Linked DNA regions of Macaca fascicularis. The protein of the gene in region 7 purifies or fractionates together with the protein of the main gene of each other region. This does not show direct contact. Links are inferred from orthologs where the notes say so. Each region holds a gene or a part of one and is shown on either strand. Other genes may lie near its edges. The genes, in order: SIN3A, BCL11A, PARP1, CHD3, KPNA2, ZNF512B and MTA2.

Region 1 (3,500 bases), on a different chromosome or scaffold from region 7:
TAAGCAAAACAAACCAAAAAACCCCAAAACGAATTAGGCACCATCCTTGATGTCCTCCTTTTGCTTACCCCCACATTTGATCCAATACCATCTCTTGTCAATTAAATATCTAAATTATATCTACATCCAGGCGTGGTAGCCTGTAGTCCCAGTACTTTGGGAGGCTGAGGTGGGTGGGTCACTTGAGGTCAGGGGTTCGAGACCAGCCTGGCCAACATGGTGAAACCCCATCTCTACTAAAAATACAAAAAATCAGCCAGGCGTGGTGGCGCGTGCCTGTAATCTCAGCTGCTCAGTAGGCTGAGACAGGAGAATCGCTTGAACCCAGGAGGCAGAGGTTGCAGTGAGCCGAGATTGGGTCACTGCACTCCAGCTTGGGCGACAAGAGTGAAACTCTGTCTCAAAAATAAATAAACACATAAAATCTACAATGTAATTCTTGCAATTCCACTGCCACCCTAGTAGTCTGGGTGGTCCCCAAATCTCATTTGGACAAGGGCACCCTTGAGTGGTCTCTGCTCTTCCAACTTTATACATACCCATCTCCACTCTCCTCATAGCACTCCAAGCTATCTTTGTCAAATGTCCCAATGCATCTCAAACAAACTCCAAACCATGGCCTATTAGACAAAGTAATGTGGCCTCTGCCTACCCTTCTAACTTCATGCAACCTTGAGCCACAACGGTGTCTGTAGTTTCTTGAATATGCCATGTTCTTTCCTCCCAGCCTTGTACTTGCTGTTTTGTCTAGAAAACACCCATCCTCTACTCTTCACCAGGCTAATTCCTTGTCATTATTCAGGCCTCAAGCATCACCTCCTTTGAGAAGCCTCCTCCAGTGAAAGCAGGGCCTGTATGCTAGTTACCCTTGATCACTGCACCTGATTTGTTTCCCTGGTAGTGCATATCATCACATTACTTCATCTGATCAACTTCATGGCTGTAGTCCCAGGGCCTGGCATAACACCCTGTACACAGCTGCAGCAGGAAGGTTTCACAATTGAGATAGAATGTAAAAACAGGTAGAATTCATACAAGCAAACGATCAGATACTACTTGAGATGTAAATACTGGGAGTAAATTCACTAAAAAGGTGCCACCAGGTATTTATATGCTCTTACGGGCTGAAGTGTGTTCTCCCTAAAATTCTTATGTTGGCTGGGTGTGGTGGCTCGTGCCTGTAAAGCTAGCACTTTGGGAGGCTGTGTCAGGCAAGACTGTCTCAAACAAACAAAAAATCAAATATTGAAGTCCTGGCCCACAGTACTTCCAAATGTGACCTTATCTGGAGGCAGACATACACACAGGTAGAAACACCATATGAAGATAAAGGCAGGGATCTACAAGCCCAGGAATGCCAAAGATTGCCAGCAAAGAACCAGAAGCTAAGAGAGGCCTAGAACAGATTGTCCCTCACAGTCCTCAAAAGGAACCAACACTGCTGACACCTGACTTTGGACTTCTAGTCTCCAGAACTTTTGTCGTTTAAGCCACACTCTGTGGTACTCTGTCACAGCATCCTTAGCAAACCAACATACCTACTTCCTCAGCTAAGTCTCAGCTCCAAGAACAGGTTTGCATAAACAAAGAGAAACAATCAGAAGACTCTGGGCCTCCCCTGCTCCTAGCTAGGGTGGCAGATGTGTACAGAAATTAGTTACTGGTTCTCACCTGATGAGCCCGGAGCAGGGCAGTCCTCCGATACATATAGTCCTCTGATTTGATCACATACACCATCTTGTAGGAATTCAGCTTGAATCTACACTCCAGCTTATCCAGACTATCCACATTCTCCATGGTCTTCTTACTGTTTCCTTCCTTCCCTTCCTTTTCCTGCTGCTCTCGACCACGCTGACATTTCCGGATCCGCCGTAGATTCCTATGGCAGAAAAGCCCTGAAAGATGAGAGCTCATCCAGACACAGATTCCCGTGACTTCCCCCAAGTGAGTTTTCTTTATTATATGCTTACATAGTACTCATCCCAATTTGTTAAATACATACAAAAATGTTCCGTTGTTTCACTGCAAAAAAAATTTCAACTGCAAAGGTACACAGAATAAAAAGTAGAAATCTTCACCCATCCCCTACTTGCCTTAGCAGATGCAGCCAGTTAAGAGTTTTAATGAGAAACTTCTGGGCCTCCGTCTGTAAATTTACACATGTAATTACCAGCTATAATTCTGCTTTGGGATTTGTTTCTAAGACAAAATAGGATCATACTATATATTCTGTCCTCAACTTTTCACTTACTGTCATGAGTATTTTTTCATTTCATGACAGATTTGTCTTATTCTCTTTAACTGCTGCAGAAAAATGTACCCCAATTTACCATTCCTTAACAGTTTATTTCAACTGAGGTTCCTCATCTGAACCACATAACAAAAAATTATTTGAATGCCTATTTTTAAAAATTCCCCCAGATGATATAAACTAGTGCCACTCTACATAGACAAGAAAGAAGATAATTCACATGAATGGATGCCCTGAGGGGTGGGAGGCTTGCTAAATCTCCTCAACATCCAGTGAAGAAAGGTTATCAGCTAGACAATTATACTGTTTCTCATAACTTGCTATTAAAAACACTGCTTCAGGTTGGCCGTTGTGGCTCATGCCTATAATCCCAGCACGTTGGGAGGCAGGTGGATTGCTTGAGCTCAGGAGTTTGAGACTAGCCTGGGCGACATGGCAAAAACCCCTTCTCTACAAAAAATAAAAAAATTAGGCAGGTGTGGTGATGTGTGCCTAGAGTCTCAGCAACTTGAGAGGTTAAGGTGGGAAGATCGCTTGAGCCCAGAAGGTGGAGGTTGCAGTGAGCCAAGATCCCACCACTGTACTATAGCCTGGGAGACAGAGTCAGATACTGTCTCAAAAAAAAAAAAAAAAAAAAAACCCCAAAATATTGCTCTAGTGAGTATCTTTGTATACATGTATTTCTGTAGACAGCAGTTCTTTGTCCAAAGGGTCCCAAGACCCTTTTAGGAGATCTGTGAGATCAAAACTATTTTCATAATAATACTAAAATATTATTTCCCTTTTTTGCTGTGTTGACATCTGCACTGGCACCATAAACGTAATGGTGAATAAAAATGGTGGTGGCGCCAAATTGTATTTGCAATATCGAACAAATTGTTACCAAATTCCAATATCAATCTATATACATCACTGAGCTTTTCATACAGTTGTCAAACTCTATTGGTTTATTTTGTACCATGAATGAATCCTTTTACTTCCACGATTTTGTAACCTCATGCAATTGCAATTCAAGTCTTTGAACTTCACACTGACTGCACAATGACATTAAGTGAAAAAAAGCCAGTTTCACTTAAGAAGGTTTCTGATGGGCCAGTCACAGTGGCTCACACTTATAATCCCAGCACTCTGGGAGGCTGAGGCAGGCAGACCACTTGAGGTCAGGAGTTTGAGACCAGTCTGGCCAATTGGGGGAAACCCCATCTCTAATAAAAGCACAAAAATTAGCCAGGCATGGTAGCGTGCACCT
Region 2 (3,500 bases), on a different chromosome or scaffold from region 7:
CCTTCAGGACTAGGTGCAGAATGTCCTTCCCAGCCACCTCTCCATGGGATTCATATTGCAGACAATAACCCCTTTAACCTGCTAAGAATACCAGGATCAGTATCGAGAGAGGCTTCCGGCCTGGCAGAAGGGCGCTTTCCACCCACTCCCCCCCTGTTTAGTCCACCACCGAGACATCACTTGGACCCCCACCGCATAGAGCGCCTGGGGGCGGAAGAGATGGCCCTGGCCACCCATCACCCGAGTGCCTTTGACAGGGTGCTGCGGTTGAATCCAATGGCTATGGAGCCTCCCGCCATGGATTTCTCTAGGAGACTTAGAGAGCTGGCAGGGAACACGTCTAGCCCACCGCTGTCCCCAGGCCGGCCCAGCCCTATGCAAAGGTTACTGCAACCATTCCAGCCAGGTAGCAAGCCGCCCTTCCTGGCGACGCCCCCCCTCCCTCCTCTGCAATCCGCCCCTCCTCCCTCCCAGCCCCCGGTCAAGTCCAAGTCATGCGAGTTCTGCGGCAAGACGTTCAAATTTCAGAGCAACCTGGTGGTGCACCGGCGCAGCCACACGGGCGAGAAGCCCTACAAGTGCAACCTGTGCGACCACGCGTGCACCCAGGCCAGCAAGCTGAAGCGTCACATGAAGACGCACATGCACAAATCATCCCCCATGACGGTCAAGTCCGACGACGGTCTCTCTACCGCCAGCTCCCCGGAACCCGGCACCAGCGACCTGGTGGGCAGCGCCAGCAGCGCGCTCAAGTCCGTGGTGGCCAAGTTCAAGAGCGAGAACGACCCCAACCTGATCCCGGAGAACGGGGATGAGGAGGAAGAGGAGGACGACGAGGAAGAGGAAGAAGAGGAGGAAGAGGAGGAGGAGGAGCTGACGGAGAGCGAGAGGGTGGACTACGGCTTCGGGCTGAGCCTGGAGGCGGCGCGCCACCACGAGAACAGCTCGCGGGGCGCGGTGGTGGGCGTGGGCGACGAGAGCCGCGCCCTGCCCGACGTCATGCAGGGCATGGTGCTCAGCTCCATGCAGCACTTCAGCGAGGCCTTCCACCAGGTCCTGGGCGAGAAGCATAAGCGCGGCCACCTGGCCGAGGCCGAGGGCCACAGGGACACTTGCGACGAAGACTCGGTGGCCGGCGAGTCGGACCGCATAGACGATGGCACTGTTAACGGCCGTGGCTGCTCCCCGGGCGAGTCGGCCTCGGGGGGCCTGTCCAAAAAGCTGCTGCTGGGCAGCCCCAGCTCGCTGAGCCCCTTCTCTAAGCGCATCAAGCTCGAGAAGGAGTTCGACCTGCCCCCGGCAGCGATGCCCAACACGGAGAACGTGTACTCGCAGTGGCTCGCCGGCTACGCGGCCTCCAGGCAGCTCAAAGATCCCTTCCTTAGCTTCGGAGACTCCAGACAATCGCCTTTTGCCTCCTCGTCGGAGCACTCCTCGGAGAACGGGAGCTTGCGCTTCTCCACACCGCCCGGGGAGCTGGACGGAGGGATCTCGGGGCGCAGCGGCACGGGAAGTGGAGGGAGCACGCCCCATATTAGTGGTCCGGGCCCGGGCAGGCCCAGCTCAAAAGAGGGCAGACGCAGCGACACTTGTGAGTACTGTGGGAAAGTCTTCAAGAACTGTAGCAATCTCACTGTCCACAGGAGAAGCCACACGGGCGAAAGGCCTTATAAATGCGAGCTGTGCAACTATGCCTGTGCCCAGAGTAGCAAGCTCACCAGGCACATGAAAACGCATGGCCAGGTGGGGAAGGACGTTTACAAATGTGAAATTTGTAAGATGCCTTTTAGCGTGTACAGTACCCTGGAGAAACACATGAAAAAATGGCACAGTGATCGAGTGTTGAATAATGATATAAAAACTGAATAGAGGTATATTAATACCCCTCCCTCACTCCCACCTGACACCCCCTTTTTCACCACTCCCCTTCCCCATCGCCCTCCAGCCCCACTCCCTGTAGGATTTTTTTCTAGTCCCATGTGATTTAAACAAACAAACAAACAAACAGAAGTAATGAAGCTAAGAATATGAGAGTGCTTGTCACCAGCACACCTGTTTTTTTTTTCTTTTTCTTTTTCTTTTTTCTTTTTCCTTTTTTTTTTCCTTTATGTTCTCACCGTTTGAATGCATGATCTGTATGGGGCAATACTATTGCATTTTACGCAAACTTTGAGCCTTTCTCTTGTGCAATAATTTACATGTTGTGTATGTTTTTTTTTAAACTTAGACAGCATGTATGGTATGTTATGGCTATTTTAAATTGTCCCTAATTCGTTGCTGAGCAAACATGTTGCTGTTTCCAGTTCCGTTCTGAGAGAAAAAGAGAGAGAGAGAAAAAGACCATGCTGCATACATTCTGTAATACATATCATGTACAGTTTTATTTTATAACGTGAGGAGGAAAAACAGTCTTTGGATTAACCCTCTATAGACAGAACAGATAGCACGGAAAAAAAATCTCTATGAGCTAAATGTCTGTCTCTAAAGGGTTAAATGTATCAATTGGAGAGGAAGAAGAAAAGGCCTTGAATTGACAAACTAACAGAAAAACAGAACAAGTTTATTCTATCATTTGGTTTTAAAATATGAGTGCCTTGGATCTATTAAAACCACATTGATGGTTCTTTCTACTTGTTATAAACTTGTAGCTTAATTCAGCATTGGGTGAGGTAATAAACCTTAGGAACTAGCATATAATTCTATATTGTATTTCTCACAACAATGGCTACCTAAAAATATGACCCATTATGTCCTAGTTAATCATCATTTTTCCTTTAGTTTAATTTTATAAACAAAACTGATTATACCAGTATAAAAGCTACTTTGCTCCTGGTGAGAGCTTAAAAGAAATGGGCTGTTTTGCCCAAAGTTTTATTTTTTTTAAACAGTGATTAAATTGAATGTGTAATGTGCAAAAGCCCTGGAACGCAATTAAATACACTAGTAAGGAGTTCATTTTATGAAGATATTTGCTTTAATAATGTCTCTTTAAAAATTCTGGCACCAAAAGAAATAGATCCAGATCTACTTGGTTGTCAAGTGGACAATCAAATGATAAACTTTAAGACCTTGGATACCATATTGAAAGGAAGAGGCTGACAATAAGGTTTGACAGAGGGGAACAGAAGAAAATAATATGATTTATTAGCACAACGTGGTACTATTTGCCATTTAAAACTAGAACAGGTATATAAGCTAATATTGATACAATGATGATTAACTATGAATTCTTAAGACTTGCGTTTAAATGTGACATTCTTAAAAAAAGAAGAGAAAGAATTTTAAGAGTAGCAGTATATATGTCTGTGCTCCCTAAAAGTTGTACTTCATTTCTTTTCCATACACTGTGTGCTATTTGTGTTAACATGGAAGAGGATTCATTGTTTTTGTTTTTATTTTTTTAATTTTTTCTTTTTTATTAAGCTAGCATCTGCCCCAGTTGGTGTTCAAATAGCACTTGACTCTGCCTGTGATATCTGTATCTTTTCTCTAATCAGAGA
Region 3 (3,500 bases), on a different chromosome or scaffold from region 7:
GCTGATATGTGAAGCGTGCTTCAGTTCATACCTATTCAAAAGAGGACGGGCTCAGAAGAGGCTTTCACACTGTGCTCTCAAAACCAAGTTTGATTAGGAGAATAAGATCAGATATAGAGATGAGATAAAAGCCCACAAAACCCAGACCATCTTAACTGCTCAGGCTTCCTCCCGAGTTTCTGGAACTGCTCCAGAACCTGAAGCTGCGGTTGCGGCTGAACATAGTCTGTGCCCAGCGATCACTGCTATGGGGCCATTTTCAAGGAAAGGCCCTATATGGAGTGGTGAACGGCAGCTCTGGGTTTCCGTCCACATTCCACAGTCCCCAGACCCCTGGCCATTTACATGACCCTGTGCTTTTGGTTACAGTTCACAGGACTAGGGTGGATGTCCAAATCAAGCTGGACTAATCAGATCTTTCTCTGTGGAGAATCTGGAAGTGGGATTAAGATTCCAGTTCTATTTGGGTTGGTCTAAGAAAACTGAAACACTGCTGAGTGGAGGAGGAGGCCATGGGGGATCATCCTTTGTGCAACTCAATCTCTCTGCTTCCCAGTCCGTGGAGAGAAGACACTGCCAGCTCTGGAGGCCTGGCTGCGTTCCTGCCCTTGCATTTCCTGAAGTATCCTTGTATCTCCCTTGTTCCCTTAACTTGAATTGGATTCTGTTATTTACAAGAAAAGAATCCTAATTGGCAGGTCCAGTAACTGTAGTGGGGAATTTCCACTCTCCCAGCCAAAGGGAGTTCTGCCTATAGCCCATTCCATCTGTCCCCATGAAATGCCATCGGTCCCAGAGCCAGGTTTACTCACATGTTTCCAAGGGCAACTTCTCCCAACACGATTAAGCCTATTGGGTCTCCCTGAGACGTATGGCAGTAGTTGGCACTCTTGGAGACCATGTCAGCGAAATAGATCCCTTTACCAAACATGTAGCCTGTCTGGAAGGTTGGAAAAGGGACAGCTGAGAATCTTCTGATGGGAAATTAGGAGCAGCTGTTCACTGAGTGCCAACATGAGCAAGCCACCCAGCTAAGTGCTGCAATCCATCACTTCTAATTCTCACAATGCCCATGCTGAGGAAACACCAAAGTTTTAGCTCACAAGCCAGGCTGCTCAGATCCTAGCTCTGCCAGGTGCCAAGGAGCTGCAAGAAGCTATGTAACCTTTCTGGACTCTACTTGCCTCTTTTAAGTGGGGAACATAATCTCATGGAGCTGCTGTGAGGATGGAATGAGCTCATCAATGTTACTTAAACTAGTGCCTGTCAACACCCAAGGAACGCAGACTGGTATTTTTATTCCCTTTTGTAAGTGAAACACAAGGTTCACAAAGGGTAGGCCATTTGCCCATTATACACTACTGCACAGCACCAGAGAGCATCATTTAAACCACTCTCCTCCTCGTTCTACAACTGTGAAACTAGAGGCTTGGAAGGCCCTGTCCAGCTGGACCCATCTAGAATCCAGCAGGTGGCATCACGACCCCTCGTGTCTGGGTAAAGCCTTACTTATTTATCACTACGTTTTCCTGCTGAAGACACTGACACTCAAGAGGTGGCCCGGCTGGGAAGTGGTAGAGGTAGGCCTGGACTCAGCTTGGCCTGTAGCCACGTGTCTGTTCTTTGCTCATCAACACACCCAATTAGCATTTGCAGCAGGCCCTGGCCTGGATGCTCTATCTCCTTTGTTCCAGAAACTGTGTTTGAAACTCCTGACAGGATCAGGGTCAGGAGGATAAAAGGGTGAAGGCCTAAAGAAAGGATGTCTGGCAGCATCCCCCTAAGCCAACTAGGCCTCTTACTCAAAGTTCTTTATGGAGACACCTGCAGAGACAGGTATTGCCCACCCCTCACTAGGCCAGGCACATACCACAGGTGCTTCAGGCGGGGCTATCCGAAGACCCTGGGACAGGATCCCGGCAAAGTTGGTGGTCCTGGACCCGTGCCACAGCAATCTTCGGTTATGAAGCTGCTTAAAGGGCTTGTAGCGCTGGCATTCGCCTTCACGCTCTATCTTAAAGATCTGGTTGTAGTAGTAAACAAAGGGAGGGACAAAAGAAGCCATTTGTTACTCTGGTTGATTGAAAGATAGGACTGGACACAGGAGAAATGACTGGCTGTCCCTAAGGCTAGAAGACTTAAGGTCTGCTGCAATGCAGAAAATGTTTTCCACAAGGCTGGGATGGAAGGTCAAGGTCTGGCCCAGCAGAGCCCAGCCATTGCTAGTTAGTATTACTGTGCAGCAGATGTGCACTTGAGGAACTTTATCTTAGACCTCTGATAATTGTACGTTCTGAGACCAGGTTTGGGGATGGGAAATGTCCTTTAAAACATAATAAAAAGCCATCCCCAAACTACTGTATAAGATGCTAATTTTATAATCTCAGCACTTTGGGAGGCCAAGGAAGGCAGATCACCTGAGGTCAGGAGTTCAAGACCAGCCTGGCCAACATGGTGAATCCCTGCCTCTACTAAAAATACAAAAATTAGCCAGGTGTGGTGGCGCATGCCTGTAATCCCAGCTACTCTGGAGGCTGAGACAGGAGAATCACTTGAACCCGGGAGGCAAAGGTTGCAGTGGGCTGGGATTACACCACTGCACTCCAGCCTGGGTGACAGAGTGAGACTCCATGCCAAAAAAAAAAAAAAAAAAAAAAAAAAGACTACTAATTTTTCTGCTGAACAAATGAGTCACTTCTTTGGATTATTTAAAGTAAGTAAACTGCTCTTTTCTACCCAGGCCCAGGTTGGAGGAGTGGGCAGGGAAAAGCTGGCAGGACACAGAAGAAAGTGGGGGAAGAAGGGATTCTTACATCGATGACTTCCAAGTCATACGCATTGTGTGTGGTTGCATGAGTGTTCTTAACATACTTCCTGATGATCTCGGCTTCTTCAGAATCTCTGCCAACCACCTGGGTAAACAGAATCTTGGGATTAGCACAAAGGAGACCCCAGGAGAGCTACAGAGGAGGAATGCTCAGGCTCAGTCGATGCACAGCTCAACACCACACTCCTCAAAGGAAGCCAGGCATGACCGAGAGCCTGTGTCCCAGGCCCGTGGGCTGGGCAGATCCTGGGCCAGTGGCTCCACTTTCCTCTTCATCTACTTGGGCTCAGGGTTCCTTTTTGTCTTAAAATTCTATGTTTTGGGATATCAGGGAAGCTGGAATATGGGGCTCACTGTCAGTGAGCAGGGCATTTCCAGAACAAGCAACTGGCTCCTGGAAGAGAGTCCAGCTCAGCATGAGTTAAAACACAATGGGCCAGAGGAAGTCACAGCTATGATGTGCAATTAAAATTATCCCTGGCTCAGTGCACAAGCCTAACAAGCAGCTGTCAAATAGCTGACGTAATCTATGCTAAGTAAACCTGAGTATTATAGATGAGACTAGTTATGTTTTATTTTCATATTTATATTCAAAGTTCAGAAAACCTAGGAATGCTGGTCTACCTCACTGTCTTTTAATTAAAAGTCTTCAGAATTGTAAACAGAGAATAAG
Region 4 (2,600 bases), on a different chromosome or scaffold from region 7:
GAGCAATAAACATCAAGGAAGTGCCTAGCAGTTCAAATCTTTGGTAAGCTAGACAGATCTGACCCTCAACTCCTTTAAAAAAAAAAAAGTGTGCCTTTGCTTCATACTGGAACTGAACCTGTGGAGCTGTAGTGACCTCTACTGACTCTTAGGGGAACTAAAGTGCAACTTGAAGGTGGAAAGGATGATCAAAAGGATGGCTGGAAGGCAGTTTTGAATCTTGCTAGGCACTCCTCCCACTACATTTCTGTCCAGTAAGTCCCACTCTCTCTGAAGTCAACCTGAGGCCATGTAGTATCTGCTGCTCACCCTCCTTCTCTACACTGAGCCCATCACATAGTTGGAGCTGGAAGAACCTCAGTTTTAGTGAATAATCCAAGAGATAAAAATGAGGAAAAGGAAAAAGTCGTAAGATTTTTTTTAAAAAAGGCAGAAAGCAACAACTTTTCTTATCCCTCCCCCCAAAACTCCCCCCCCTATAAAAAATAACAGAGCACACAGAAAGGAAAGTATAATTTATATGTACAACCAATAAACCTGATACAGAAGAGGGGATCAGGACAGACCAGGAGTGGGTGTGAAGAGAGACTGGGAAGGGGGCAGCAAGAAAGTGAAGGGGCAGCAAAGAGGAAGTGGGGGGTTCGCCATGCAAACTGCCACTCTCCCTGGCCCCTCCTGGGAGGGGGGATGTGCCCACATTTCCCTTGCCTGCCCTCCACTACTTTGCTCTGGTCCCAGTGACAAGGTAGCTCCCAAGACCCTGACTAGGTCCCCTGCCTGACTTAACGCAAATTTAGTCTGTATCTAGGCCTTGAGGAGGGAGGGTAGTAGAAGTCTTCAGGAACCTAAGCCCCAGAGCTGGGGGCTTCCCCGCCACCGCCGTCTGGCCCATTGTATTCTCTCCCACCCTTCTAGGTGACCTGGGTCCCTAGAACAGGTTGGGGAGCTCCTCTTTGGCTTGAGGGAGTATCACCCAACCATTACTCTTTGTAGGGGTGGTCCTTGGTCCCTAGGGAGGGGGGAACATTCCCAACACAAGATGCCGGTACACAGGAGGTAACTGAGCCAGTGAACGGCGCCTTTATTCTGAGGCTGAACAGCAATTGACTTCCTCCCTCATAACTGCTCCACCCTCATTGTGGGGAGAGGTAGGGAACGGTAACATGCAGCCACCCCTCCTCGTCCCTTCCTCCCTCCCAGGACTCATTTTCATCCCTCTCTAAAAGTCCCCCTCCTCTCTTCAAAGCTCTCTTCCCCGCAAAAGTTCCTAAAGGCCAGGCAAGGCTAATTCTCCACTTCTGCATGAGATGGAGCTGATTCTGCAGGGAAACAGCTGGGGAGGCTCCACCTCTTGCCTCCCCACAACCATTTACTGGGAAGTTGTGTATACTTGGCGGTGGGGGAGGAAGGTACTTGGAAGACCCTGCCAGCCGTCTCCCACCCAGACCTCTTCTCACCAGCACAGTCTTCAAGGCTTGGTGGGAAAGGCGCGTGGGAGTGGAGAAAGACAAAGGGCCCTTCTTGAAGAGAGGAGCTGCAGAGAGGGGCAAAGGGGTTCCTAGCCCAGTGATGGCCCAAGGGGTGGGGAAGGTGGAGGGCTGGCAGCAGGCCCCAGCGCTTGAGCTGGGGGTCGGCCTCGGGGACGGGGCCTGGGTGAAGGGCAGGCCTGGGATCCAGTCAGTCGTCTATACAGATCACCTCCCCGGCTCGGGGCTCCTTCCGATCCAGCCCGTCTGACACCAACGCCCCCACCATTTCCTTCTCCTTCTTCACCAGCACTGGAGGGCCGTTGGTGGCGGCTGTTTGGGAAAGTGGTAAGGAAAGATCAATTCCCACATCACTCCCAAACATCACTTCATGACAGTGGTGAATTCTCACTTCTAGGCCACCTCCTGCCACTTCCAGTTGCCCCAGGTAAGGGTGGGAAGACAAGGGCAAACCCCTTTCCCTGAGATTCCACTTTGTGTTACATGATTGAACACGTGTTCCCACTCTATACCCCTCGGGTTTCATATTCACTTTCCCTTGAAGGAACCTGGAGGGAGGTGGCTTGGGTAGAAGACACCAAGTCACAGATCTACTAAAACTCTGGTTTTTGATAAAGGAGATCAAAGAGGGGTTAAGAAAGGGATGGGGGGACAGCCTAGAACAACTCTATCCCATAAAACACCAGATACCACCAAGGAAATGAGATGGACTAGAGCAGTTAAAGGGCAGCTGAGCAGAAATAAAGTTTGGCAAAGGAGGAGTGTGAGTAGCAGGGGGTAGGAAAACACCAGCTGACCTGTGATGAAGGACCCTGCAGGCATCTGGCTGTAATTGGCGCCTGCGGCGGCCAGGGCCCCTACGGGTGCGGCGCTGAAGGCCGCCCCGTACCCCGGAGGTGTAGCGTAGGGACCCGGGGGGAAGGCCTGGAACAGAGAGTAAGCAGAAGTTGGAGTTAGTTCATAGTCTGTGAGAGGAAAGAAGCTGTAGGGGAGACATTAGGAGCCACACTCCACAGCTACTGAGGGTAGGATACACAGGCAGGCAGACTCACTCAAGGGTGACGACTGTGTTCTAGCAAGATGTTTTTCCATATTGTATAGGATTCTGATGGA
Region 5 (3,500 bases), on a different chromosome or scaffold from region 7:
AGTGAGCTGAGATCCGGCCACTGCACTCCAGCCTGGGCAACAGAGCGAGACTCCGTCTCAAAAAGAAAAATGTGCTTAACCACAACTATCAGGGAGAACAAATTCAGTTAACAATGGGAGTCTAACCCTGTCAGAACGTCAAAAGTTTTTTTAAAAAGTGACAAGATCTGTAGATTTCTGCAGGGATGGAGAGGAGGGTAATCTACATTAATTTTTGGAAAAATGGTAGTTAATGATACCGCATATATAGCACCATATAGGTAATCTGTTCAGCTTCTCTTAGATTCCAGAATGTCTCAGCATTTAGTGATTTACTTAAAAGGTTGTCTGAAGTTCTAAACTGTTGAATTGCATTTTAAATTGGTTTTTACACAAACTCCTTTTGTTAACCACTTTCAACTTTTATTTCTCTTTTTGTTCCCCTTTAGGAAACTACTTTCTAGAGAAAAACAGCCCCCCATAGACAGCATAATCCGGGCTGGTTTGATTCCAAAATTTGTGTCCTTCTTGGGCAGAACTGATTGTAGTCCCATTCAGTTTGAGTCTGCTTGGGCACTCACTAACATTGCTTCTGGGACATCAGAACAGACCAAGGCTGTGGTAGATGGAGGTGCCATCCCAGCATTCATCTCTCTGTTGGCATCTCCCCATGCTCACATCAGTGAACAAGCCGTCTGGGCTCTAGGAAACATTGCAGGTACTTGGACTTGAAGTTCTTTTGACTGAATGTATCTAAGCGTAATGAGTTCAAAGAAAGGCCTTATAAATAGTAACGACTTCATCAAGTTTTGAGCTTGCTTTCAAGCCGTTATTAGGAATGAAAGTGTCGTCTTTACAAAGGCAGCAGAGGGGCATCTAAGTACGTTTGGGAGTTTTTGCTGGTGCATCAGTCACTGAACATTGGTGGTGTTGGACAAGATAATAAAATTAATCTTGCCTTTTTTTTCAGGTGACGGCTCAGTGTTCCGAGACTTGGTTATTAAGTATGGTGCAGTTGACCCACTGTTGGCTCTGCTTGCGGTTCCTGATATGTCATCTTTAGCAGTAAGTTACTAACATGAATAAAGTTACTCACTTCTTCATTCTAATTTCCCCCATCTTCTCAAAAGACAGAACCTCTCATTGCCTATTTTTTTCCCCCTAGTGTGGCTACTTACGCAATCTTACCTGGACACTTTCAAATCTTTGCCGCAACAAGAATCCTGCACCCCCAATAGATGCTGTTGAGCAGATTCTTCCTACCTTAGTTCGGCTCCTGCATCATGATGATCCAGAAGTATTAGCAGATACCTGCTGGGCTATTTCCTACCTTACTGACGGTCCGAATGAACGAATTGACATGGTCGTGAAAACAGGAGTTGTGCCCCAACTTGTGAAGCTTCTAGGAGCTTCTGAATTGCCAATTGTGGTAAGTTATTTACTTGTAGATTAGGACATTAGTATAAAAAGCATGATCAGGGCTGGGTATGGTGCCTCACGCCTGTATAATCCCAGCACTTTGGGAGACCAAGGTGGGTGGATCCCCTGAGGTCAGGAGTTAGAGACCAGCCTGGCCAACATGATGAAAGCCCATCTCTACTAAAAATACAAAGAAATTATCTGGATGTGGTGGCACGCGTCTGTAATCCCAACTACTTGGGAGGCTAAGGCAGGAGAATTGCTTGAATCCGGGAGGCAGAGGCTGCAGTGAGTCGAGATCGTGCCATTGCACTCCAGTCTGGGTGACAAGAGCAAGACTCCTGTCTCTCAAAAAAAAAAAAGCATTATCAGTTGATACTAATATTGAAATATTACCTATTTCATACCCATGATGGGCCTCTTGTTAAAACTTTTAGGGTACAGAATTTCTGAAGTGCTGGGAAAAAACCAGCATCAACATTTTTTTTTTTTTTTCAGACTCCTGCCCTAAGAGCCATAGGGAATATTGTCACTGGTACAGATGAACAGACTCAGGTTGTAATTGATGCAGGAGCGCTCGCTGTCTTTCCCAGCCTGCTCACCAACCCCAAAACTAACATTCAGAAGGAAGCTACATGGACAATGTCAAACATCACAGCTGGCCGTCAGGACCAGATACAGCAAGTTGTGAATCATGGATTAGTCCCATTCCTTGTCAGTGTTCTCTCTAAGGTAATGAAGTCTTAGGATTTAATCAAGTCATTTTTAGTATTTATAGAAAGCTCTGCTTGATAAGCTTCTTCACGTGCAAGAATCTTGGGTTCTACTTGGAGTCCTTTGCTGAAAAATACCCAGTAACCCCTTTCACTTACAGTTGGATAGAACCTTGGTACTTTGAGTCATTGTTTTTGTGAAAAAGTACTCCTGGAAACTTATTCTTGCAACTTTCTGAAATAAAACCATTTCCTTATGTTTAATAGGCAGATTTTAAGACACAAAAGGAAGCTGTATGGGCCGTGACCAACTACACTAGTGGTGGAACAGTTGAGCAGATTGTGTACCTTGTTCACTGTGGCATAATAGAACCGTTGATGAACCTCTTAACTGCAAAAGATACCAAGATTATTCTGGTTATCTTGGATGCCATTTCAAATATCTTTCAGGTAAGACCTATCAAGGTGGCTTTGTTTGAATTTGAACTTGATAATAATCAGTTTACTATTTAGACCTGGGGGAGGGCAACTGTTGTAAGTTTAGTCACTAGTAAGCCACAGATTCAGAAAGCCTGTTTAGGTGGGCCACACCTTTGATTAAAAATGTGGCAGGCATTATCAAAGATGAAAGAGATGACAAGTGGATGATGGGACCTGAATCGAAGTCGGGCGTTTATGTGAACTCATCACATCTGTTTACTTACTTGATTTAATGTCCCAATTTCATACTGAATTTTGGTGAAATTAAATTTGAATGACTTGGCCAGTCATGGTGTCTCATGCCTGTATCACAGCACTTTGAGAGTCCAAGGTAGGTGGATCACCTGAGGTCAAGAGTCCGAGACCAGCCTGGCCAACATGGTGAAACCCCGTCTCTGCTAAAAATACAAAAATTAGCCATGTGTGGTGGCAGGCACCTATAATCCCAGCTACTTGGGAGGCTGAGGCAGGAGAATCGCTTGAACCCTGGGCCAGGGGTGGAGGTTGCAGTGAGCCAAGATCATGTCACTTCACTCCAGCCTGGCCGGAAGAGTGAAACTATCTCAGAAAAAAAAAATTTGAATAACTTATATTTTTCTTCTGGTTGTATCCCTAATTGATCCAAGCGTACCAGCATATGGCACTTTGTCATAGTGATTGGTGGTAGGTAAGTCCTACTCATCAACTTTAGATTCTAGAGATTTTTACATATAGAAGTTGAGTCTACAGGCTGGGCACAGTGGCTCACACCTGTAATCCCAGCATTTTGGGAGGCTGAGGTGGGCAGAGCACGAGGTCAGGAGTTTGAGACCAGCCTGGCCAACATAGTGAAACCCCGTCTCTACTAAAAATACAAAAAATTAGCCGGGTGTGGTGGCAGGCGCCTGTAATTCCAGCTACTTAGGAGGC
Region 6 (4,077 bases), on a different chromosome or scaffold from region 7:
AGCCCGAGCCCCACACTCAGAGCCCTCCCTGGGCCTGCAGGGTGCACACACCACATGAGCCCCTCAACATCGGACTGCAGTGGGAATTCAAGCCACCCAGCAGGGGCCATGCACAAGACCTGCTCTAGGAGCCCAGAATCTCCCGGCACACCAGATATAAAGCCAGACCACATGAAGCCTGCCAGGCCAGTGCCCACACCTTGAGGCACAGAGTTGGTACCAGATGTGCAGAGGACAAATCAGGGCAGGGCAGTGGCTGGACAGGGAGACCCCAGCATGAGCCCCACCATGGCCCTGAGGGAGCTCACAGGAATGTCTCGGAGGGCCTGGTTCTCGGCTTTTGGCCGCCCCTTTTTCTTCCCTTCTGTCTTGTCGCTGGCTGGACTTCCTGGGTCAAAGCAGAGAGGGGCTTGGCCAGGCACTGTCTGTCCACCACGGACCACCGGCATCCCTGCAGCACATAACACAGCAAGGCTCGGAAGCTGTAGCACTGTCTACCACTGGGGGCTGCACAGGCCCACAGTGAGCGCCACTGTCCCAACACCAGGGCACCGGGAGCAGGGGCTGTGGCCAGCTGAGGACAAGAACCCAGGGCCCTGGGCGATGTCCAAGGCAACCCTTCCCCTGGTAAGGTCCTTGGGAACTCAAGGGGCCTAGCTGGGTACCTGGAGACAGGATGCCCGGGGCCGTGGCCCACTCCTACCCCTTGCTGCCCAGAACCATGCCCAGAATTGACTTTGGCCCTGACTCCTCTTACCCATCTTCGGTGGATCATGCAGCATTGGAAGTCGGACCTCCTTTCGACTGCCATCCTTCCCGGGACCACTCTTGCTGGACCCCGGGGGCCGACGGCCTCCAACGCAGAAAGGATCCGTCATCTCTGCGGAGCAAGTAGACAATCTGTGAGGCCTGACGGGCCCCACTCAGAACACGTAGTGAGGCTGCCCTGGAGCCCCGCCCTTGGCAGGTCCTCGCTGGTCAGGGAAGAGGGGCCTGCCCTCCTGTGGTTTTGTTCACGTGGGAAAAGCAAGTGATGGGGGGTTCTGACTTAGGGGAGGGGCTGCCAGCCAAGGTCTCCCCAGATAACCCAGGAGGCGTCATCAGTTTGGAAGGATCTAGTCCTGTCCTGAGACCCTCACCAGCTTCCAGATCCCCTTCCCAACACACAGCCCCATAGCTGCAGAGATGATGCTGGAGGTGATGCTGGGAGGGGTGTGCCCCCGGGAGAGGTGCCTTGTGCAGGAGGAAGGAGGCTGGCAACATTCCTCCAGGGGACAATTATGTCTCCGATGATGGCTGCTGGCTCACAAGCTGCCCGGGCCCAGCAGTGGGGGCACAGCTTCTCACTGGGGCCCTGGTACCCTCCCATGCAGACCTGATGCAATGCCAACCTACCCAGGCAGGTACCCTTGGAATCTTCTCTCCAGACACAGATGGAAAACAGCCAAGGTGGGCACTGAGGACCCCCAGCCCACTCCAGCCCTGCACCAGGCTTCTGTCTCTGTTCTGGCTGAGCTATCCCCCCGACCCTCTTCACAGACTTGTCTGCGGGCCTGGCAGGCTGACCCGCCCCCAATCTCTCTCTGGAACTCTCAGTCCCCTGCCCACAGACCCATTACCACCACCTCAGCCAAACAAGTAGTGGAAGCACTAGCAGTGAAGGCCCAGGCTGCTGGCCAGAGAGAATGCCCTGCTGCCCAACGCTGGGCCCCCCCGAGGTCCTGTGCTGCTGGGAACCCCATCCTGAGAGCTGGGGAGCAGAGGAGACTCTGGGCTCAGCCCTGTGGAAAAGCCACGGAAAGAGGTGGGACAGGAAGCAGGGTGAGGGCTGGGTGGGCAGGTGGCCCCCTCCTGATACCTTCTAATTAACTTAGATCAGAGGGGATGGGAAGGGGCTGCTGTGTCCAGGAGGGCCAGAGAGCTGAGGTCAGAGGTCAGGACAGTCACTGCCCATTGCCAAGGGGGAGGCCAGTGTCCGGGCACAAAGTTCTCTGGAAGTCCTCACTTTGCAACTTTGAAAGGAGACAGGGTCCGCATGAGTCATCCCAGCACCTGACGACCCCGGTGGCCCCAATTTTTCTGAAGCCTGGGAGAAGAATTCAGAGTAGTGGGACCTGAGGCCAGGGCCGGCCTGGGAGGTAGAGACGCGACTGGCGCCCCGGGCGAGAAGGGGCTTCGGCCCTCCCGAGCCCAGCGGGCACACCGAGCCCTGGCGGGGAGAGGGGGCTCCGCCGCGCTGCGCGCAGGAGACGCCAGCAGCGGGTCCGCCGCGTAGGCCGTTCGGCCCGGGACCCCGGCCCAGGCCTGGCGCGAGGGTGAGCGCGGCCAGGGACGCGCACCTGGGGCCAGCCTCGCCACCCACCTGTCACCTGGGGCCGGGAGCGGGCGCGGGCGCGGGGCGCGGGCCTCGGCCTGGCCGGGCAGGGCCGATCGCGGGCGCGGGGTGGGGGGGCGAAGGCAGTGAACCAAAATGGCGACTTTTTCTGGAGAAGGAGGAGGCAGGAAGACGGCGCCGGCGCGGGGCGCGGGGGCTCGGGCGCGGCGGGGGGCGGGGGGGCTCCGGGCCCGGCCCCCTCCTCGGCCTGCGCGCGGGGTCGAGATCCGGGGCGCGGTGGGCGCCGGGGCTGCGGCCAGATCGGGGCTGGGGCACGGCCGGGCGCTTACCTGCGGCGCCCAGCGGGGCTGCGGCCGGGCCGAGCCGGGCCGGGGTGGGGGGCGCGGGGCGCGGGGCGCGGGGCGGTGGGTCCGGGCGGCGCAGGCTGCGCGCCGCGCTGCGCACATGCGCGCTCCCGCCCCTCCCACCTTTGACAGTTTTACTGCGGGGGGGAGGGGGCGAACTCTCGCGTTATTCCCGCGGCCGCTCCGCGGCGGGGAGGGGGCGGGGAGGGGGCGGGGAGGGGGCCCGGCGCTGGCCTGTGGTCCCCCCCCCGCGGTTCCGCCCCCGTCGGCCGGGCCCGCAGTCCGGAGTAGCCAGTTCTGCCGTCCTGGGGCGCGGGGAGTTTTTTGGACAGTGGGGTAAACTGAGGCCCGATAGGGGCGCTGGGCACTGCCCGGAGTCCGGCGCGCACGGATTGAGGCGACCTGATTCCGCCGCATCCTGGCCCGCGCGGCGAGGGTGGTCTCTGGGCTCGAGTCCCTGACCTCTGGCCCTGGGGGCCGTGCACCGGCAAAGCAGGATTCAGCCTCTTTCCAGCCGGCCCTGAGACCACTTTTGCGACTGGCCCCTGGCGGTGCCTGGTGGCTTGAGGCCATGGAGCTTTACTGGGGTCACTGACCATTGGGTCAACCTTTCCCAGCTCTGGGGGCAGTGGTTCTGAACCAGTGCCAGGGCCTTCCCTGCCCCATATCCTGGGCTTCTGCAGGGGGCACTGGGGTCCGGTGTGGGCTGAGTGGTCTGGAGGCGACGGGGCACTGACACCACAGGACTTGAGAATTGAATGAGGCAGAGAAAGGTGTAGCTCTCCTAAAGAGGACGGAGGAGGCCCCACACGGGACTAGCACAGGACCCGCAAGAATCTCCCCCAGGAGAGTCCTGTCCTGTCTGTCTGTCTGTCTGTCTGTCTGTCTTTCTTTCTCTTTTTCTTTCTTCTTTCTTTTTCTTTCTTTCTTTCCTTCCTTCGTTCTCTTCCTTCTCTTCCTTCCCTTCCCTCTCTTCCTTCCTTTTCTCCTTCCTTCCTTTTTCCTTCCCTCCCTTCTCTTCCCTCCCTCCCTTCTTCTTTCCTTCCCTCCCTCCCTCCCTTCCTTCTTCTTTCCTTCCTTCCTTCTCTTCTGTTCCCTCCCTCCCTTCCTCCCTTCCTTCCTTCTCTTGCTTTCCTTCCCTTCCTCCCTTCCTGCCTTTTCTCCTTCCTTCCTTCCCTTCCTTCTCTTCCCTCCCTCCCTTCCTTTCTTCTTCCTCCCTTCCTTCCCTCCCTTCCCTTTCTCCTTCCTCTCTCTCTTTCTTTCTTTCTTTTTTTTTTTTGAGAGGGAGTCTCGCTCTGTCGCCCAGGCTGGAGTGCAATGGCCGGATCTCAGCTCACTGCAAGCTCCGCCTCCCGGGTTCCCGCCATTCTCCTGCCTCAGCCTCCCGAGTAGCTGGGA
Region 7 (4,064 bases):
AGCCCTAACTATCCCTCATTCTCTACTTGGCTAATAATAGTTCCTAGGGTTTTCAAGGACAACACCTCTCAAGCTAGTGCCAACATCTTCCTCCTGAAAGAGCTGCAGCTTGCCCTGAAACCTAGTGGAAGGGGTTAATCTGGCTAGGCGCCAACCAAAGTGGGAGGGGGCAGAAAAGCCTCAGGCCCAGGCTCATTGGTGCATTGTTCCCAACCTCAGGGAGAAGGGGGGGTTGTGCAGTAGGCTCCACCCCTCGCTTGTGTGCTCCGGAAACCCTGTGCTAAGGCAAGGGGGACCACACCCCCAACACCCCTTCTGATTGGACAAGGCCAAGGTCAGCCCCTGCCAGATGGGGCTGGAAACCCTAAAGGGCCAGGGAACTTGGTTAGCCAGGATCCTCTTTAACCCCTTCTCACCCAGAGCAGTCTGAAAAAGGAAAATGATTTAGAAAGGTGGAACAAAAGGAAGGAAAAAGAAAACCAAAGCAGGAAAGGAAAAAGAAGCTAAGAAAATATTTTTTTTTTTAAAAAAGAAAATGAGACCTTAAAGAGGATGAAAATAGAGCAAAATGAAAAGGGAAAGATGTAAAATGGGGGGTGGCAGGTGGGGAAATGGGCAAGGTGAGAAATTAAAAAGTGCAAGAAAACTTCCAGCCATCTTCTAACTTCCAGGTATTCTCACCACCTTGTGATTACAAAATAAGGCTGCTTCTGTTATGCGGGCTTCTCAGTACAATCTCTTCCTCTTCACCTTGACCTTCAGTCACCACCTACTGTCCCAGTGTACCCCAAACTGCCCCCCTTTAGAAAAGCATTCTGTTTCTCTAAACCCCGTCTTCATCCCCTAAATAAACCGTATCGTCTCTCTCCTACTCTCATACACAAACCATATCATGGCTTTCCTTATCACAATCTCTCCACCCTGCTTCCAACCCCAACGTGTAAAAACAGGTCTCCCTCCTCAGGCCAGGCATTTCCCACCCTCAAACTCACACCTCTGCCTTGGGCATGCTACCAGGGGAAATACCTGCAGGGACATGCGCAGGCCTCAGATCATGGGGAGGGGGAAAAGAAAGGGATGAAGATACTCACTGGCATTACTATCAGCCAAGCTGTTGAGGCTACTAGAAATGTCCCTGCGCCGGAAAAGACAGACGACCTTTGCCTCCACATTTCCATTTGCAGTCTAAGGGGAGGAAAAAAACAAAAACAGAAACAAAACAACGTAGCAGTGAAAATTGATCATCTGGGAACAGAAATACACAAAGAGACAAATAACAGTAAGTTTCGGAGGGACCTAAATTAAAAAGCCCAAGAAAATATGAGTAAATACTTACATTCAAGGACAGACTTCCAAATCCCTTTCCTTTGCCCCCAAGAGACAGAATAGTAAAGTTCCTGCTAAGCTCTCAATAGCCTTTCCTGAATACATCCAATTAATGAATGAATGAATATGAATGGGTACTTAGTATAGGGTCCTCTCTTCCACCTGAAGTTAGAAACCTCAGAAGAGACCACTGGGGGAGGGAGGGAGAGGGATTCTGCTCCACTCACCTTGTTGAGTTCCTCAATCCGTCTAACCAGGTAAGGATTGCTGGAGGAGTTCTCAAAATAGACGTAATCTGTAAGGGAAGGGAGGGGCGAGAACCACGAAGATCAGAGGAGATGGGAGAGACGCAGAGCACCACAGTAGGAGAGAAAGTTGGCCTGAGTGGATCAAAAGAAGATAAGGATTCAGGCAGAGAGCGCGCTGAGATGTGAAAGTGTAAAGACTAAGAGAAAATAAGGATGTCCCCCACCCCCACCGCACCTAGTTCTAAAATCAGATCCATTACTCAAAAGTGAGCCTTAAGGAACAGGCAAGAAGCAGGGGTTCCCCTGCAGTCCCCACAACTCAGCAACGAGTTGCACCTCAGTCGCGGCGAAGTAATTGTTCGCTCTAGCGCAGGGCCCCCACCTTTTCGAACTGAGGCGCACAATAACGCCTGGGAAGAGGAAACCTCCGGGCGGCTCCTCCGCGGTGGCAAAGCCGTCGCCCCAGCCCCTCGCGTTCCCTCCCCACCCTGTCAGCTCCTTCGGAACCGGTTTCCGAAGCCCACTCCGTGCCCCGAGGAGCCCCCGACGCAGCCCTGAAAGTGCCGTCGGGGCTGCCCGCAGCTTCTCTCCAGGAGTCTCGGCGCCCTGCCGCGTCGCGGTTTCCCGCACCCTAGCTCCTCGTCTCCCGGTTCCGGTTCCGGTCCGCGCTCCGGTCCATGCCGCCCCATACGCTGCGCCTCGCGCCACCCGGTGCCGAGCCCCTCCGGTCCCGACCCCAACCTCTCCCGCCCCGGACCCTGTACCCCTGCGCCCGGTACTCACCTCCCACCCGGTACATGTTGGCCGCCATGGCCGTTCCCGCCGCCGCCTCCGGCCGCACAAAGGGGTCCGGGAGGCTCGCGGGGGCAGGGCTCGGCTAGAGGCAAAGCCCTGAACGGTGGGCTGGCGCTTCGAGGGAGTCTCACTGGGGCCCGCGCAGCCGTCACCTCCGCTGCCTCAGCCGTCGCGGTTCATCCCGGCCCGCGCTATCGCCGCCGCAGCTATCGCCTCACTCCCGGGACGCTGAGGCTGGCCCCGGTCCGCTCGGCTTCTTCCGGAACGAGCTCGGCTCCTGCCAGGCGAGAGCCAGGCTGCAGCTGCCCCCACCCCCGCCGAGTCCCACTAGTCGTTGGGCTCTGCCGGCCGCAGGGAAGGCTTGCCCGGCCCGCCTCAGGGTTCGCCTCCTTCCGGAACACCTTCGGCCGATCCGGAGAACAAGGCCCACTGCTCGGCTCAGGTCGGAGAGCGAGACCCCGCAGATCGGCTACTTCCGGAAGAAGTTCGGCTCCTGTCGGCCAATCGCTCGGCTATTTCCGTTGCAGCTCGGCACCCCCCCACCCCTTTTTCCGAGGGCGGGAGAGGAGTGGGGCTTAACTCTGTCCTAGCTGGAGCCCTGCAGCTCCTCCTCCCGCCCCGAAGACTCGCGCGCCTTAGCGCTTCGCCAGGTTATTTGCAAGCGGCTTTGCCTGTTATTTGCATAAATGGTCTACGCTCCCTTGCCCTTTCCGCACGCCTCTTTTCCTTCGTCCCCACCCCACAGGGCCCCGGAGGCACCCAGCAGCGCCCCACAAAAGCACCGGGAGGCGACTTTGGTTCTGGTTTATTGCCCCTCAGCAGGCAGCGGGAGTCAAGGCCTAGGTTGGGGCTGCCCGGCTCAACCAGCGGGTCTAAACAGTGTGTGCAGGGGCGCCGTTCGCGCCCTCCAGGGAAATGCACCGTCGGGAATGTTTCGAAGTCAGTCGAGGAAAGAGTCGGCCCCTGGTCGTGGGGGATTAGGGCGGGGCAGAGCGGGGCGGGGCCACGCCGCCAGGCCAGTAGGTCCCGCCGGCAGCGATCAAACGTCGAGGGAGGAGGCGGGGGACAGGGAGGGGGTTCGAGAGGGCGTGGCAGGCGCCGGCCCCGCGCCCCCAGCGCCCAGCACTCGCCACTGGAAGATGCTGGCGTCCTTGCCGCCCAGCGAGACGAGGTGCGAGTCGTCGTGCGTGAACCGGACGCTGGTCACGTGGCTGCCGTGGCCCCCGTACATGCGGCTCGGCGCCTGGGCGGGAGGGAAGAGTTGCAGTGGCGGCGGAGCCCTCGGGCCCACCCGTCCCACCCCGGCGGCCCCCGCGGCCTCACCTTGGCACGAGCGCACGGGTACTGGAATAGATGCACTTTGCAGAAGTCGTCGGCCACCGCCACCACGCGCTCGTTGTGGGAGCGGCACAGGGAGTTGATGTCGGTCCCATCGGAGCCGTCCGGCCACACGCCTAGCACAGTGGCCGGCCTCAGCCCGACCTCCTACCCACCGCCACCCACGGCCCAGAGCTACACCGTTTCAGGCGCTCCGGCAGCCGCAGCCACCCACTGTCGCGTTCCAGGAAAGCCTTCCCGGTCCCGAGGGCCGGAGGGGCCTCCTGGGCTGGATCTTCAGGTTTCTGGACTCTCACCCAATGACACACGCCCAGCGTTCCGAGCCCAAACTGGGCTCCACCTTGTCCCCCACCCCTC

The links.
Region 1: the proteins of MTA2 (region 7) and SIN3A purify together in Homo sapiens (affinity purification with mass spectrometry; 4 studies listed by BioGRID, with this or other methods). This does not show direct contact. The link is inferred for Macaca fascicularis from reciprocal best matches to the Homo sapiens genes MTA2 and SIN3A.
Region 2: the proteins of MTA2 (region 7) and BCL11A purify together in Homo sapiens (affinity purification with mass spectrometry; 4 studies listed by BioGRID and IntAct, with this or other methods). This does not show direct contact. The link is inferred for Macaca fascicularis from reciprocal best matches to the Homo sapiens genes MTA2 and BCL11A.
Region 3: the proteins of MTA2 (region 7) and PARP1 purify together in Homo sapiens (affinity purification with mass spectrometry; 3 studies listed by BioGRID and IntAct, with this or other methods). This does not show direct contact. The link is inferred for Macaca fascicularis from reciprocal best matches to the Homo sapiens genes MTA2 and PARP1.
Region 4: the proteins of MTA2 (region 7) and CHD3 purify together in Homo sapiens (affinity purification with mass spectrometry; 8 studies listed by BioGRID and IntAct, with this or other methods). This does not show direct contact. The link is inferred for Macaca fascicularis from reciprocal best matches to the Homo sapiens genes MTA2 and CHD3.
Region 5: the proteins of MTA2 (region 7) and KPNA2 purify together in Homo sapiens (affinity purification with mass spectrometry; 4 studies listed by BioGRID and IntAct, with this or other methods). This does not show direct contact. The link is inferred for Macaca fascicularis from reciprocal best matches to the Homo sapiens genes MTA2 and KPNA2.
Region 6: the proteins of MTA2 (region 7) and ZNF512B purify together in Homo sapiens (affinity purification with mass spectrometry; 3 studies listed by BioGRID and IntAct, with this or other methods). This does not show direct contact. The link is inferred for Macaca fascicularis from reciprocal best matches to the Homo sapiens genes MTA2 and ZNF512B.

The regions. Positions count from the first base shown.
Region 1 is NC_088381.1:52,597,009-52,600,508, forward strand, and holds part of SIN3A (paired amphipathic helix protein Sin3a), read right to left. Parts: intron 1,880-3,500; coding exon 1,672-1,879; intron 1-1,671. UniProt on the Homo sapiens protein: Acts as a transcriptional repressor. Corepressor for REST. Interacts with MXI1 to repress MYC responsive genes and antagonize MYC oncogenic activities. Also interacts with MXD1-MAX heterodimers to repress transcription by tethering SIN3A to DNA.
Region 2 is NC_088387.1:61,517,316-61,520,815, forward strand, and holds part of BCL11A (B-cell lymphoma/leukemia 11A), read left to right. Parts: coding exon 1-1,869; 3' UTR 1,870-1,871; intron 1,872-3,500. UniProt on the Homo sapiens protein: Transcription factor. Associated with the BAF SWI/SNF chromatin remodeling complex. Binds to the 5'-TGACCA-3' sequence motif in regulatory regions of target genes, including a distal promoter of the HBG1 hemoglobin subunit gamma-1 gene.
Region 3 is NC_088375.1:84,279,744-84,283,243, forward strand, and holds part of PARP1 (poly [ADP-ribose] polymerase 1), read right to left. Parts: intron 2,913-3,500; coding exon 2,814-2,912; intron 2,024-2,813; coding exon 1,871-2,023; intron 941-1,870; coding exon 813-940; intron 32-812; coding exon 1-31. UniProt on the Homo sapiens protein: Poly-ADP-ribosyltransferase that mediates poly-ADP-ribosylation of proteins and plays a key role in DNA repair.
Region 4 is NC_088390.1:7,978,855-7,981,454, reverse strand, and holds the end of CHD3 (chromodomain-helicase-DNA-binding protein 3), read right to left. Parts: intron 2,412-2,600; coding exon 2,285-2,411; intron 1,800-2,284; coding exon 1,678-1,799; coding exon of another isoform or gene 1,559-1,677; 3' UTR 501-1,558; downstream 1-500.
Region 5 is NC_088390.1:74,467,001-74,470,500, forward strand, and holds part of KPNA2 (importin subunit alpha-1), read left to right. Parts: intron 1-428; coding exon 429-697; intron 698-949; coding exon 950-1,044; intron 1,045-1,144; coding exon 1,145-1,408; intron 1,409-1,896; coding exon 1,897-2,130; intron 2,131-2,378; coding exon 2,379-2,561; intron 2,562-3,500.
Region 6 is NC_088384.1:120,103,254-120,107,330, forward strand, and holds the start of ZNF512B (zinc finger protein 512B), read right to left. Parts: upstream 2,801-4,077; 5' UTR 2,665-2,800; intron 2,509-2,664; exon of another isoform or gene 2,363-2,508; intron 2,087-2,362; 5' UTR 1,396-2,086; intron 881-1,395; 5' UTR 879-880; coding exon 758-878; intron 452-757; coding exon 309-451; intron 1-308. UniProt on the Homo sapiens protein: Involved in transcriptional regulation by repressing gene expression. Associates with the nucleosome remodeling and histone deacetylase (NuRD) complex, which promotes transcriptional repression by histone deacetylation and nucleosome remodeling.
Region 7 is NC_088388.1:11,457,078-11,461,141, reverse strand, and holds the start of MTA2 (metastasis-associated protein MTA2), read right to left. Parts: upstream 2,801-4,064; 5' UTR 2,386-2,800; coding exon 2,358-2,385; intron 1,622-2,357; coding exon 1,554-1,621; intron 1,186-1,553; coding exon 1,092-1,185; intron 1-1,091. Other genes in the region: EML3 (echinoderm microtubule-associated protein-like 3), read right to left, coding at 3,409-3,612, 3,693-3,823. UniProt on the Homo sapiens protein: May function as a transcriptional coregulator. Acts as a component of the histone deacetylase NuRD complex which participates in the remodeling of chromatin.